Daphnia pulex: one gene and its partners. The protein of the gene in region 1 purifies or fractionates together with the protein of each later gene. This does not show direct contact. Links are inferred from orthologs where the notes say so. Each region holds a gene or a part of one and is shown on either strand. Other genes may lie near its edges.

Region 1 (3,756 bases):
GAGGGTTCGGGAGCGACGCCTTTACCTCACCAGGTGATGCGTCTCTGATTGGTGCACCTCTCGAGGGCTCGGGTGTTGGCGGGTTATACATGGTGGTAACTTCTTTTTCTACCCTCCCCTTCTTTTTCGTGGTAAAAATTACTTACACAAAAGTCGTAACAAACGGACGCAAATAAGCGACGAGTTTAGGACATTCAGAGCCACCTATCAACCGAAACTAGCAGCTTGACCGAAAGTGTTTTTGTATTTTTTGTCTTCTTTTCGGGTGTACACAATTATTACGAGGCGGGAAGAAAAACAGTTTAAACAGTACGTGTGAGTGTAGTTGTTTGTTTTTTTGGCGTCTTTTTTATTTTGACGGGATTATTTGATAGACGATACAAATGTGGAAAAAAAAAGCTTTTTCATTCAAAATGGAATTTTGAGTTAAGTTATGATGTCTCCATGGCGACGTCAGATTCTGTAAAAATGTTATTTTTCAATGAATACACAAAAGAAAATCTCAGACGTAATGATTCAGGTACTTACTTGGTTCGTCCTCTTCGTTAAACATGAATTCATCTTGAATGTCCTTCAGATACTGGGTGGAACGGGTTTCATCCAGGAATAGCGTGTACGCCTTTTTAATATCTTCTACGGCAATCTATTTAGATAAGAGCATAAAGCAAATGATTAATAACGTGCTGTCTGAATACAGTCTGAATACCAACCTCCATGGCCTTTCGTTTGCGAGCTATGAGATTAGCAACCGTGATGAGCTGAATGGCATAGCGTAAGCTAGTTTCCAAGGAAAGCCTCGTCAAAACGAGTAGAGCATCTTCCGTCATCTCGGCGTCTTCCTCTTCGCACCTGTGCAAAGAAAATATCAATTAAGGCAAAGCCAACGCATCAAATAATTGAAATGATAATTTTACCGGATTTTCAGAATTTGCTTCATTTCCTTTTCCACGTACGGCTGCGTGGCAATGATCACCATCCGATCAAGCAAATCAATTGGGATGCCGTGGGGACTCCGATATTTGGTTCCGCGAATTTTAGTAATTCCACGATTAGTGGCCATAATCAACACTGGCGCCATATCATCTTCCAGAGCACGATTCAAAAATGAAAAACATTCCATGTCTAGCATGTGCACCTACGTCGAGACATGACGGTACGAATAAATATATGCAGGAAGGAGAATGGTATGAAGATTTAATCACAAACTTCATCAATAAATAAAACTCCCGGGACGATTTCCGCTTTGCCCTCTTCGCGCCATTCGGCGACTTTGCTATTGATCTGGTCCCGGACTTCGGATTTGATTTCACCAGTATCCCCTATTGAATGCAAAACAAGAGATTTAATTTTGTAAACTTTCAAGGTCGGGAAATTAAAAATGTATGTGAGCTCACCAGAGAAGAGGGCGAGAAAACCCTGAGTTCTGCTATTGATTACGTCAATCTCGTGCAAGGTGACTGTGTGAGTCACTTCTTTCCGCTTTTGTAATTCGCCTACGTAAATAGAATAGGAGTGGTGTAAGAATATCGTACGATGTCGTCGTCGTCGTCGTAAACCACTTGACCAAAACTGGAATTTAAATAATATACCTTCGGGACACTGAACAAATCTGGTTTGCGGTCCAGTTGCGTCGTAATCCCTAGCCCTAGTGAACGATCGTCCGAGTTTCGAGATCTTGCCAGTGGCTTTGTCGATGGTAATGACGTCTCCAGCTTGGGCCTGAACCACACAAAGATATGTATACAAAATTGAAACACTTTTGTCAAACAAATTACACACCTTTTCCTTGATGAGGGATTCAATCATTTTGTTGCCCAAATCGTACACAGTTTCCATGTCTGTTGTCTTTAATGTCAGCTTTCCAACTTTAGCACCAGTTCCGGTAGCAGGTCTATCAATTTGAACTTCAACAACCTCACCCTCAATGATCTCAGTTTCTTCTCTGTTGAAAACAAATGAAAAATAAGGTTACAAGATTTCTAGGTTGAACAAATTTTGAGTTCACATCTACTTGATTCGAACTCCAATAGATTTTCGAAATGCTTGAGTTAGAGCTTCAGTTTTGCTCATTTCAAGGCTGTAGATTTCCGATCCGGCCATGGATGTGAAAGGTGTGTTGTCCCCGAGAGCCTGTGCCATACCCATGGCAATTGCAGTTTTGCCTAAAAAGTAAACCAAAGTGTTATAAACCAAATAATGGGATGTTTATTGCAGATTCAAAGACAATGTTAACCTGTTCCTGGCTGTCCAGCAATCAATACTGCTCTCCCCGCAATTTTTCCTTCTCTAATCATTTCCAGTACCACACCAGCAGCTCGTCGTGCTGTCAACTGGCCAACCATGCCTTGGGACACCTAACAATCATTTTGATATGTAACTTGTACGATTCTTTTATTCAAATTATTCAAAAGTACTTCTCTTGGTTCCAAAGCATCATCAAGTCCAAGACCTCGAATGTGAGAGTGAGTACCGATTCGTTCAATTCGAGAGAATTCTCGCACTTCTGCTACTTTAACTGATGGGATCGCCTAAAAAATGAAACGATATGGTCCAGAAATAAAAAAAGCACACAAGGGAAACGGAAAAATTAGCCATTTTATCCAAAATAAAGAATTATAACACGTGTATATATTACCGCCATGATTTGCTTTTTACAGTGCGTTGAGTTTCCTATCCTTCCCGTTCAACGCCGGTGGTATCCATGGAAACGGTTTTGAATTGATTGTTCGCTTTACATTCTTTTTTAAAGCATTTGTAATATTATACATCAACATTAAATTTTATTAAATTAAATTATATGAAATTTTAAAACACTTATCGACTTATTTACTACTTTCCTCGAATCTTAAAAAAATTATCAAACATGGCAATGCTGATTTTAGCTCCAACTTTCAAAGGCATAAAAAGGAGCAATGATTTCTTGACAAAAGCTCATTAGCTAGCCTAGTGGCTGTCTGAAACACATCTTTGGTGTCGATTACTACTTCAACGCAAACGTAATCAAATTTTTTTTTAGATTTTTTATGCATATATTCGATTATGATTGTTTTACACAAACCATTTAGCATCTACTGACTTTTTCCAAATGAAAATTTTAGAAAATGTGGAATTCAGAATGTTATAAAGTAAAATTTGTTGGATCAGAGACACGTGCATTTTCAGGACAAACGTTAAGTGAATTCAGTGTACATTGAGTGAGACATAGACTTAGAGAGATTTTCATTTTTGTAACGGGATTCCCAAACGGGAGAGAAAGAGACTTGTGTTACTTTTCACATGGAAAAAATATACCTCGATTTTTGTAAATTTTCATTCTTTTGTAGATGAACAGTTTCATGGTTGACATAGTATTTTAGCAGGGTTGTTACTTTAAATGTAAATAACAAAACAATTATACATTTTTGATTAACCGTGTTTCGCTGTCACCGTCTTCCGTAGTGTAGGTGTTATTCCGCCAGTAAAGTAATCTAAATAGCTCAACAAAACCAACTGAACACTGTTCTTTACCAATTTGCCAGCTAATTTGGTTGTTTTTCTAGGCAAGTCTTTGTCTGAAAGCTAAAAATGGGAAGTAATCGTTCAAAGCATTAGAAAGAGACGACAAAAAATGTGTGCAAATCAATTTGCCATTATATTTATTACGTACTATGTTGTTGATATATATAATCCTTCGGTGAAAATTGCCGCGAAGTCCCAAAACGTGATATTTGTCAATTTTTCTTCCTTCTTCCGCAAAGTTAATTGGGGGCCTGGCTT
Region 2 (2,824 bases), on another chromosome or scaffold:
ACTCCAACTAGATGCCAAACAGATTGAGAAAACCGGTCAAAACACACATAATTTGATGAGCTTTTCAAGAATTCAGTGTGTGACGTCCTCCCTCTCTTCACTTGATACACACACAGACACACACTCATAGGGCGACATCACATGGCCGAAAATGTAATGGTGATTCATCCTTAAATTATCTCAACTTTGGCTTCGTTTTGGAATCGATAGAGAAACCTACTATTGATCAATGTTGTTCTTACCCGACTTAGATAAATTCTTCAATCAATTTTTTATACGAATGAAAATACACGTTGCAAATCCCAGCACATCGTCGGCGAGGGCTCTGTAAAAAACCGAAGAACAGAACAAACAGTTGCTCGCAGTGCTGCACTGGGGCGCTTTCAAGTGGCAATGAAACGCACTACAAAACCGGTGCATTCTCTTCCTTCCGATGCCTCTTCCAACAACTCTTTCGAAATGTGGTCACGTCGAATTCATTTTTAATTATTATAATTTTCATACACTTGAGAAACAGGAAATCGTATCGACAACTTTTTTTTAACTCTCTAAAATAAGTGAGGTAATTAAACTGAAGATGGAAAGGTTTTTCTAACGAATAAAAATTCAAACGCATGATTTTGAAGTGGGCGGTCATTTTTTAGTCCGGCCGAAATTTTTTTTTTAACACAATACCCGAGTTACAAAATTTCATTAAACGGTTTCGCAATCAATAATGTACGAGTGCCGAAAAAGTTGACATGGTAAAAAAAAAAAAAGTCATTCATCTTCTTGTTTTCAAATTCGTCGACGTTTTGGAGTGATTTGCGGTGTTCCAGGGCTTGGGGCAGTGCTGGCTCTTGTTCTTTTCACAGCTTTCTTTTCAATTGGCTGGGGTGTTTCAGGAACTTTTTCCTTCTTAACTTCTTCCTTTTCCTTCTTTATCACTTTCTTGGATTCAGCATCCTTGAATTTGCTATCCATCAATTCGCCATACTCCTCAGTGGAAAGGACAAAGTCCATTTCTTCGTTGGGGAAAGGAATCGTCTCGTGCTCATCCTAGAGAAAGAAACAAACACTTTAATACAAAACAATACAGTGAATATTAATGACAGTGAACAAACCAGTTTCTTGAGATCGTACAAGCTCGCCAGGTGATCCCAAACACCTTTGGAAGTGACTTCTTTGTTCAGATTCATTGCCAGTTTTTCTACGATGCAGGCCATTTGAAAGTATTTACTAATTCCTGTAAAAAAGAAAATGTTTTAAATATTTAACACAAATTAAACCTGCTGTGAAACAAGTGTAGAAAATCGTCGTCATTTTCAAACGTTTATCTTATTACCTATGGGTCTGGTGCCACACAGAATTTGTAACAGCTGCAATTCGTTATCGACGGTACCCCATTCCACTTCTGCAGCCTCCAAAGTCTCTTCGTTTCCTTCAGTTTTTTCTTTAACGGCCATATTTCAATCGATTTTAACTGAGTACGTTGATATTGAATGGAGATTTCTCCGACGTTCGACTAGTGGTTGAGGAAAACGAAAATAACAACCGGCTCCCTTCTGACAAGTGAAAATACTACACACACACACTCCGCAACGCCATCTGTGATTTGGTTTTGGTAGGATTAGGTGCGTCTGCTATGCTAGCAGACACGCCATCTGTGATTCAACTATTCAACTGCTAGTCAGTTTGTTTTTGTTTTTTTTCTTTTTCACAATTTAATTAAAAAAACTGTTGTTGTATAAATGTTTCATAATTGACCCGACAGAAATTAATTCAGTCAGCCAAAATGGAGAGAAAACAAAACAAAACAAACATCCTGTTTTATTTAATCCAGCGACGTTAGTTAATCGTTATCTGAACAACACCAAGATTGTCGAATGATAAATCAGGCACGGTTCTTAGAATGTCCTGGGCGAAACATTCCGACGAAATACTTTTCCCATTTCCCGTGTCCATTTCCCAAGGTCACAACCAGTTGAATCATCACGATCACGAAGCGTAAGCAGAAAATGGGAAGGAAAAGAAATAAAATAATACGGAGGAGAGTTTTTTGGCGTTGGTGTGTGTGTAAATGCAAACGAAATATCCGCCCTGTAAAATCAAAATAAAATAAGCGGAAAAGAGTCCCGACACAAAACAGCCATTTCCTCCTCCCACACGGAATAAATGCTGGTGAACACAAAAAGAGCTATTGGTCAATTTTTTTCCTCTCCAAACAACTGTTATTACATGATATAACTGCCGTGCAGGCCGGCCGACTCCATTGAGGCGTAGAAAACCAGCCAGCGTTTATTTCAACGGTGAAAAGAAAGCAAAATAAAAAACCCATAGAAATCGCTTCCATCTCTCTTCATTGTCTAGTACTAAACTTTTGTGTATTGCCGTTTAGCCCCCAAACATTTCCCAGCTCAGCCAAAGAATTTACAAAACACACACACAGACAAATTGACTATCATTCAGTTTCAGCTTTTTCCTTCTACAAATTTTGGTTTTATTGTGCGAAACATTGGCCGGCAAACGGGAGAAATATCACACAACACGCCGGGCTGCCCTGGAGAAGAGAAAAAAGAATGAAAGGGAAGCGGATCATTAAACGACGCCGGATCATTTAAGGACTTTTCCGGAAAGAGAAGAAAAGATCTAGAGGGAAAGAGACGGGAATTTTTTGTGTTGTTTTTCAAAGTCTGCCGGGCAGGCTGGGCGCGCTAACGTTGGTTGTTTAAGAGGTCTGCTGATCTATTTGTAGTGATGGTAGTTGTGGCTGCTGCTGCTGTTCCTCCTGGGCAGCCTGAGCGGATGTCAAAGCCGCCTCCTGCGATCCGCCCGCGTTTGTTTC
Region 3 (3,749 bases), on another chromosome or scaffold:
GGCCGATCGTTTAGACTCTTGATCTTTGTAGGATCGGAAAAAGACGGAGCGGAAGAATCCTCGTTCGACGGCGGAAGCGTTTATGATGACGGAATCCTCCTGGTTGTATCCGGTGTAGCTGAGAATGGCAACAATCGAATTGATGCCGGCGGGCAACTCTCTGAAGCGCAGGTACTCCATGGAGCGTGTCGTGACCAAAGGTTTCTGAGGGTACTGCAGGACGTGGGCCAGAGTGTCCATCCGGACGTGGAAGTTAGTAATGTACACTCCCATGGCTTGTTTACCCATGGCGCTTTGGTAAGTGTTACGAGGCGACTGGTTGTGATCGGGAAACGGAATAATCGAGGCGCAAACTCCCAAAATCATGGCCGGATGAATCTCGCAATGCGTGTACGTCGTACAGTAGGCGTCTTTACCCTGGATAAACAAAGCAAAACATTCAACGGCTGGATGGGGTGGGGTAGGGAAAGAAAAAATCAATGCAGAAAATTTACCTGGCGCAAGTCCTCGGGCGACATGGCAATCATGGCCGTCTCCTCCTCCAAAGTGTCAATGTACTCGACTACACCAGTGGCCACCAGTTCCTGCCAGCTGAAATTGATGTACTCGCGCTGTTTGAGCATGTCAACGTGGCGCTTCTTCAGCAACAATTTGCAGTTCTCGACGATCAACAATGGACGACAAATACGGCCGGCGTCCGTGTAAATTCGAATTTCACGGTCCTGGATGTCGCGCACCATCGATACTTCAGACACGATAATGTCCATCTGACGACGCAGTTTGCGCAGGGTGGCCATCAACTGCTCCGGGTCGCGATGGATACCCACCCAGCAACCGTTGACGAAAATCTTGGTGGCATCCGCAATGGCAGACGGAGCGATTTCTTCCAAGTTCTCCATGGACCACTCTTCCAAAAACTCGAGGATGGGCGACGGTTGGGAACCGACTGAAATGTAGGCCATCAAAGCCAAATTCTTGACGAGACCGACAGCAGCTCCTTCGGGCGTTTCGGCTGGACAAACCATTCCCCACAGCGTGTTGCTAAAATAGTTTTAAAAAATGTTATGTAATAAACAAAAGCCGATGAAAATAATTTGAAATCAATGACTTACTGGAGCTGACGAGGTTTGGCCAGTTTACCGTCACGACCAATGGGCGAATTGAGGCGACGCAAATGTGACAAGGTCGAAGCGAAAGTCAATCGGTTCAACACCTGAGAGACACCAGCGCGGGCCTGATGGGCTTTTTTCTGGTCTCCCCAATTTCCTGTGGCCAACGAGTAACGGAGTCCGTCGGTGATGATGCGGGTCTTAATGGCCAGTTCCAAATTGAAATCTTTTCCTCGATCGATGAATTTCTGTGCGTACATTCGGACTTCTTTCATGAGAGTTTTGAAAAGGGCTCGGAAGAGGAAAGCCATCAACGGTCCGGCGAGATCCAGACGTTTGTTGCCGTAGTGATCACGATCGTCCAGCTCACGGCGTCCCAAGGCAGCCAGCAGCAAGCGATGGACCATGTAGCCGAGGAAATAGGCTTTCTTCGTCTCGCAAAAGTCGGACACACCAACGTGAGGCAACATTTCCTTTTGGAGAATCTCACGGGCGTACTTGATACGCTTCTCTTTGGTGACACCAGGCCTGGCACCGCGAGCACCGATGAAATTCAAGGCAACATTCTGCTCCTGGATGACGAAGGCTTCGTCCAGCGAAGGTTTCACCATTTCCATCATTTCGGGGTCTTCAAAGTCGTAGATGATGTGCTCGAGAATATCTCGATCGGCCACGAAACCTAAGGCTCGGAACACAATCATAATGGGAATTTCTTGCTTAATGTAGGGCAGAATGGCAATGATACGCTGGCCGATGGCGGATTTCTTGATGCCCTGACCACCACGTGCCAACATGTTGACGTACAAGGTGGAGGTTGGACGTGACGAGTGTTCCAAGCAGGAACGAATTTCTGTCTTGTAAGCGAATTTGCCGTCCTTCATGCTGAAGACATACACTGTATTTGTGGCCATCTTCTCTTGAGCAATCAATACTTTTTCTGAGCCGTTGATGATAAAATATCCACCAGGATCGAGAGGGCATTCATTCAATTCACACAAATCACGATCATTCATTCCATTCAGCAGGCAATAAGTGGATCTCAACATGATAGGAATTTTGCCAATGAATGTTTTCTGATGCTGTGTCTCGACCTGCTCTTCCCCTTCTTTGTGCACAGTTTTCGTGATATCAACATACAACGGGGCAGAGTAGGTGAGATTTCTTAGTCTTGCTTCATTAGGCATCATGGCTGTCGGAGCACCATCTTTCTCCCAATGTGTAGGTTTCGAGAGGTAAATCTGCTCAAATTTTAGGACATATCTCGGAGGGTTTTCTACTTCCCCCGAAGAATGCTGGGCTTCTGCCTGAAGGTCAATGGCAGGTGAATCTTCAACAATTCTTTGTACAGACATCTGAATAAATTCATCAAACGAATCAAGCTGTTGTCGCACAAGACCTTTTTCATCGAAATATGCGTTGATGACAATCCAACAGGCTTCTTGCCAAAGCTCTGAAGAGATTTCCTCGCCATCTTCATCCTCGATCGGATCTTAAGTAAAAGACACGTTAGAATGAGAAAAAAATGTATGAATATCATCATATTTTGATGTTACCTTCGTCTTGATCGTACATTGTGTTATTATACGAATCGACAAATTAATTATGAATTAGAAAACGACTGCAATGTAAAGATTCGTTGGCCTTTGCAGCCGGCAGTCGACTTTCGTTCACTGTTGTCGCACTTGTCGGAAAAACTCAATTTCGACATCTGCCGGCCAAATCGAAAATGAGACGCAAGGTGGCGTTGCCGGATATATTTTAATTTCGCCGGTTTATTTAAAAGTCGGTAAAAAAATATTTTCTTTAAAACACGAAACAACTCGTATTGTGTGAGTAAATAAGAAGTGTATTCAAAATTAATTTTAACTGAATAATATAGATTACATTGAAAGACAATCCATGTGATCAATGTAAGAACAATTCTTTAAATTACTTTTTAAAATAAAAGAATAACAACGTTGTGCTAGAGAAAAGCATTTTACATCAATTGATTACTTGCCAAGAACGAAATATCTGAATTTCTGCAACGAGGGATATTGCTGGAAGTCCTCAACGCTCTCGTAGCTGTCGAAATTATCTTGATCACAGCGCAATTCGCAAAGGTCTTCGCTGGCGAATAGATTTTCAGATCCTCCACAGCCAGTGTAGAAAATCTTTTCACAATCCCTGGTAGCAGAGTCGTAGTACCACTTGATGGAAAATTGATTGCAACGCACTTTGGGGTTGAGTGGTGGCAAGAGACAAACCGGATCCAATGGTCGTTGAGCAAATACCGGTACTGGGACCGCCAATTCTATTCAAATATATTCATAAATCGTAAAAGAGCATTGCTTGAAAAAGCCCATGTTACATAAAACTAAAATTTTAGATTTAAAAAATCACTTACGAGGAGCAGCAGAGGAGAAAGCGACGAGGCAGAGCATAACGACGAACGTAGCCGACATTTTCCGGTTGAAGTTTATGGAGTTGAATGGAGCAAATGGGAAAAACCTTCTTCTGCTTTCGACTGAAGAAGGAAGGAGTCGACCGGCTGGTACTTATAGTCCCGCTAGAGATAATTACAGCCCTGCAATCGGGCATTATAGCTGGAAAAAACATGAATTTGACCTTTCGCGATGTAACCAAAATAAAAATAACCGC

What was found.
Region 2: the proteins of ruvB-like 2 (region 1) and MRG/MORF4L-binding protein-like purify together in Homo sapiens (co-immunoprecipitation; 5 studies listed by BioGRID and IntAct, counting the BioPlex papers as one, with this or other methods). This does not show direct contact. The link is inferred for Daphnia pulex from reciprocal best matches to the Homo sapiens genes RUVBL2 and MRGBP.
Region 3: the proteins of ruvB-like 2 (region 1) and DNA-directed RNA polymerase II subunit RPB2 purify together in Homo sapiens (affinity purification with mass spectrometry; 3 studies listed by BioGRID and IntAct, with this or other methods). This does not show direct contact. The link is inferred for Daphnia pulex from reciprocal best matches to the Homo sapiens genes RUVBL2 and POLR2B.

Annotation. Positions count from the first base shown.
Region 1 is NC_060021.1:8,103,752-8,107,507, forward strand, and holds ruvB-like 2, read right to left. Parts: upstream 2,738-3,756; 5' UTR 2,642-2,737; coding exon 2,636-2,641; intron 2,529-2,635; coding exon 2,415-2,528; exon of another isoform or gene 2,355-2,414; coding exon 2,234-2,354; exon of another isoform or gene 2,215-2,233; intron 2,163-2,214; coding exon 2,012-2,162; exon of another isoform or gene 1,973-2,011; intron 1,943-1,972; coding exon 1,780-1,942; intron 1,720-1,779; coding exon 1,590-1,719; intron 1,494-1,589; coding exon 1,395-1,493; intron 1,320-1,394; coding exon 1,207-1,319; intron 1,136-1,206; coding exon 915-1,135; intron 850-914; coding exon 711-849; intron 644-710; coding exon 529-643; intron 461-528; coding exon 432-460; 3' UTR 226-431; downstream 1-225. Other genes in the region: uncharacterized protein LOC124194162, read right to left, coding at 3,406-3,558, 3,647-3,756. UniProt on the Homo sapiens protein: Possesses single-stranded DNA-stimulated ATPase and ATP-dependent DNA helicase (5' to 3') activity; hexamerization is thought to be critical for ATP hydrolysis and adjacent subunits in the ring-like structure contribute to the ATPase activity.
Region 2 is NC_060018.1:12,249,204-12,252,027, forward strand, and holds MRG/MORF4L-binding protein-like, read right to left. Parts: upstream 1,592-2,824; 5' UTR 1,446-1,591; coding exon 1,325-1,445; intron 1,226-1,324; coding exon 1,104-1,225; intron 1,039-1,103; coding exon 778-1,038; 3' UTR 619-777; downstream 1-618. Other genes in the region: tRNA dimethylallyltransferase-like, read right to left, coding at 2,708-2,824.
Region 3 is NC_060022.1:1,081,493-1,085,241, reverse strand, and holds the start of DNA-directed RNA polymerase II subunit RPB2, read right to left. Parts: upstream 2,833-3,749; 5' UTR 2,682-2,832; coding exon 2,663-2,681; intron 2,599-2,662; coding exon 1,113-2,598; intron 1,042-1,112; coding exon 495-1,041; intron 418-494; coding exon 1-417. Other genes in the region: kunitz-type protease inhibitor 1-like, read right to left, coding at 3,101-3,402, 3,496-3,553. UniProt on the Homo sapiens protein: Catalytic core component of RNA polymerase II (Pol II), a DNA-dependent RNA polymerase which synthesizes mRNA precursors and many functional non-coding RNAs using the four ribonucleoside triphosphates as substrates.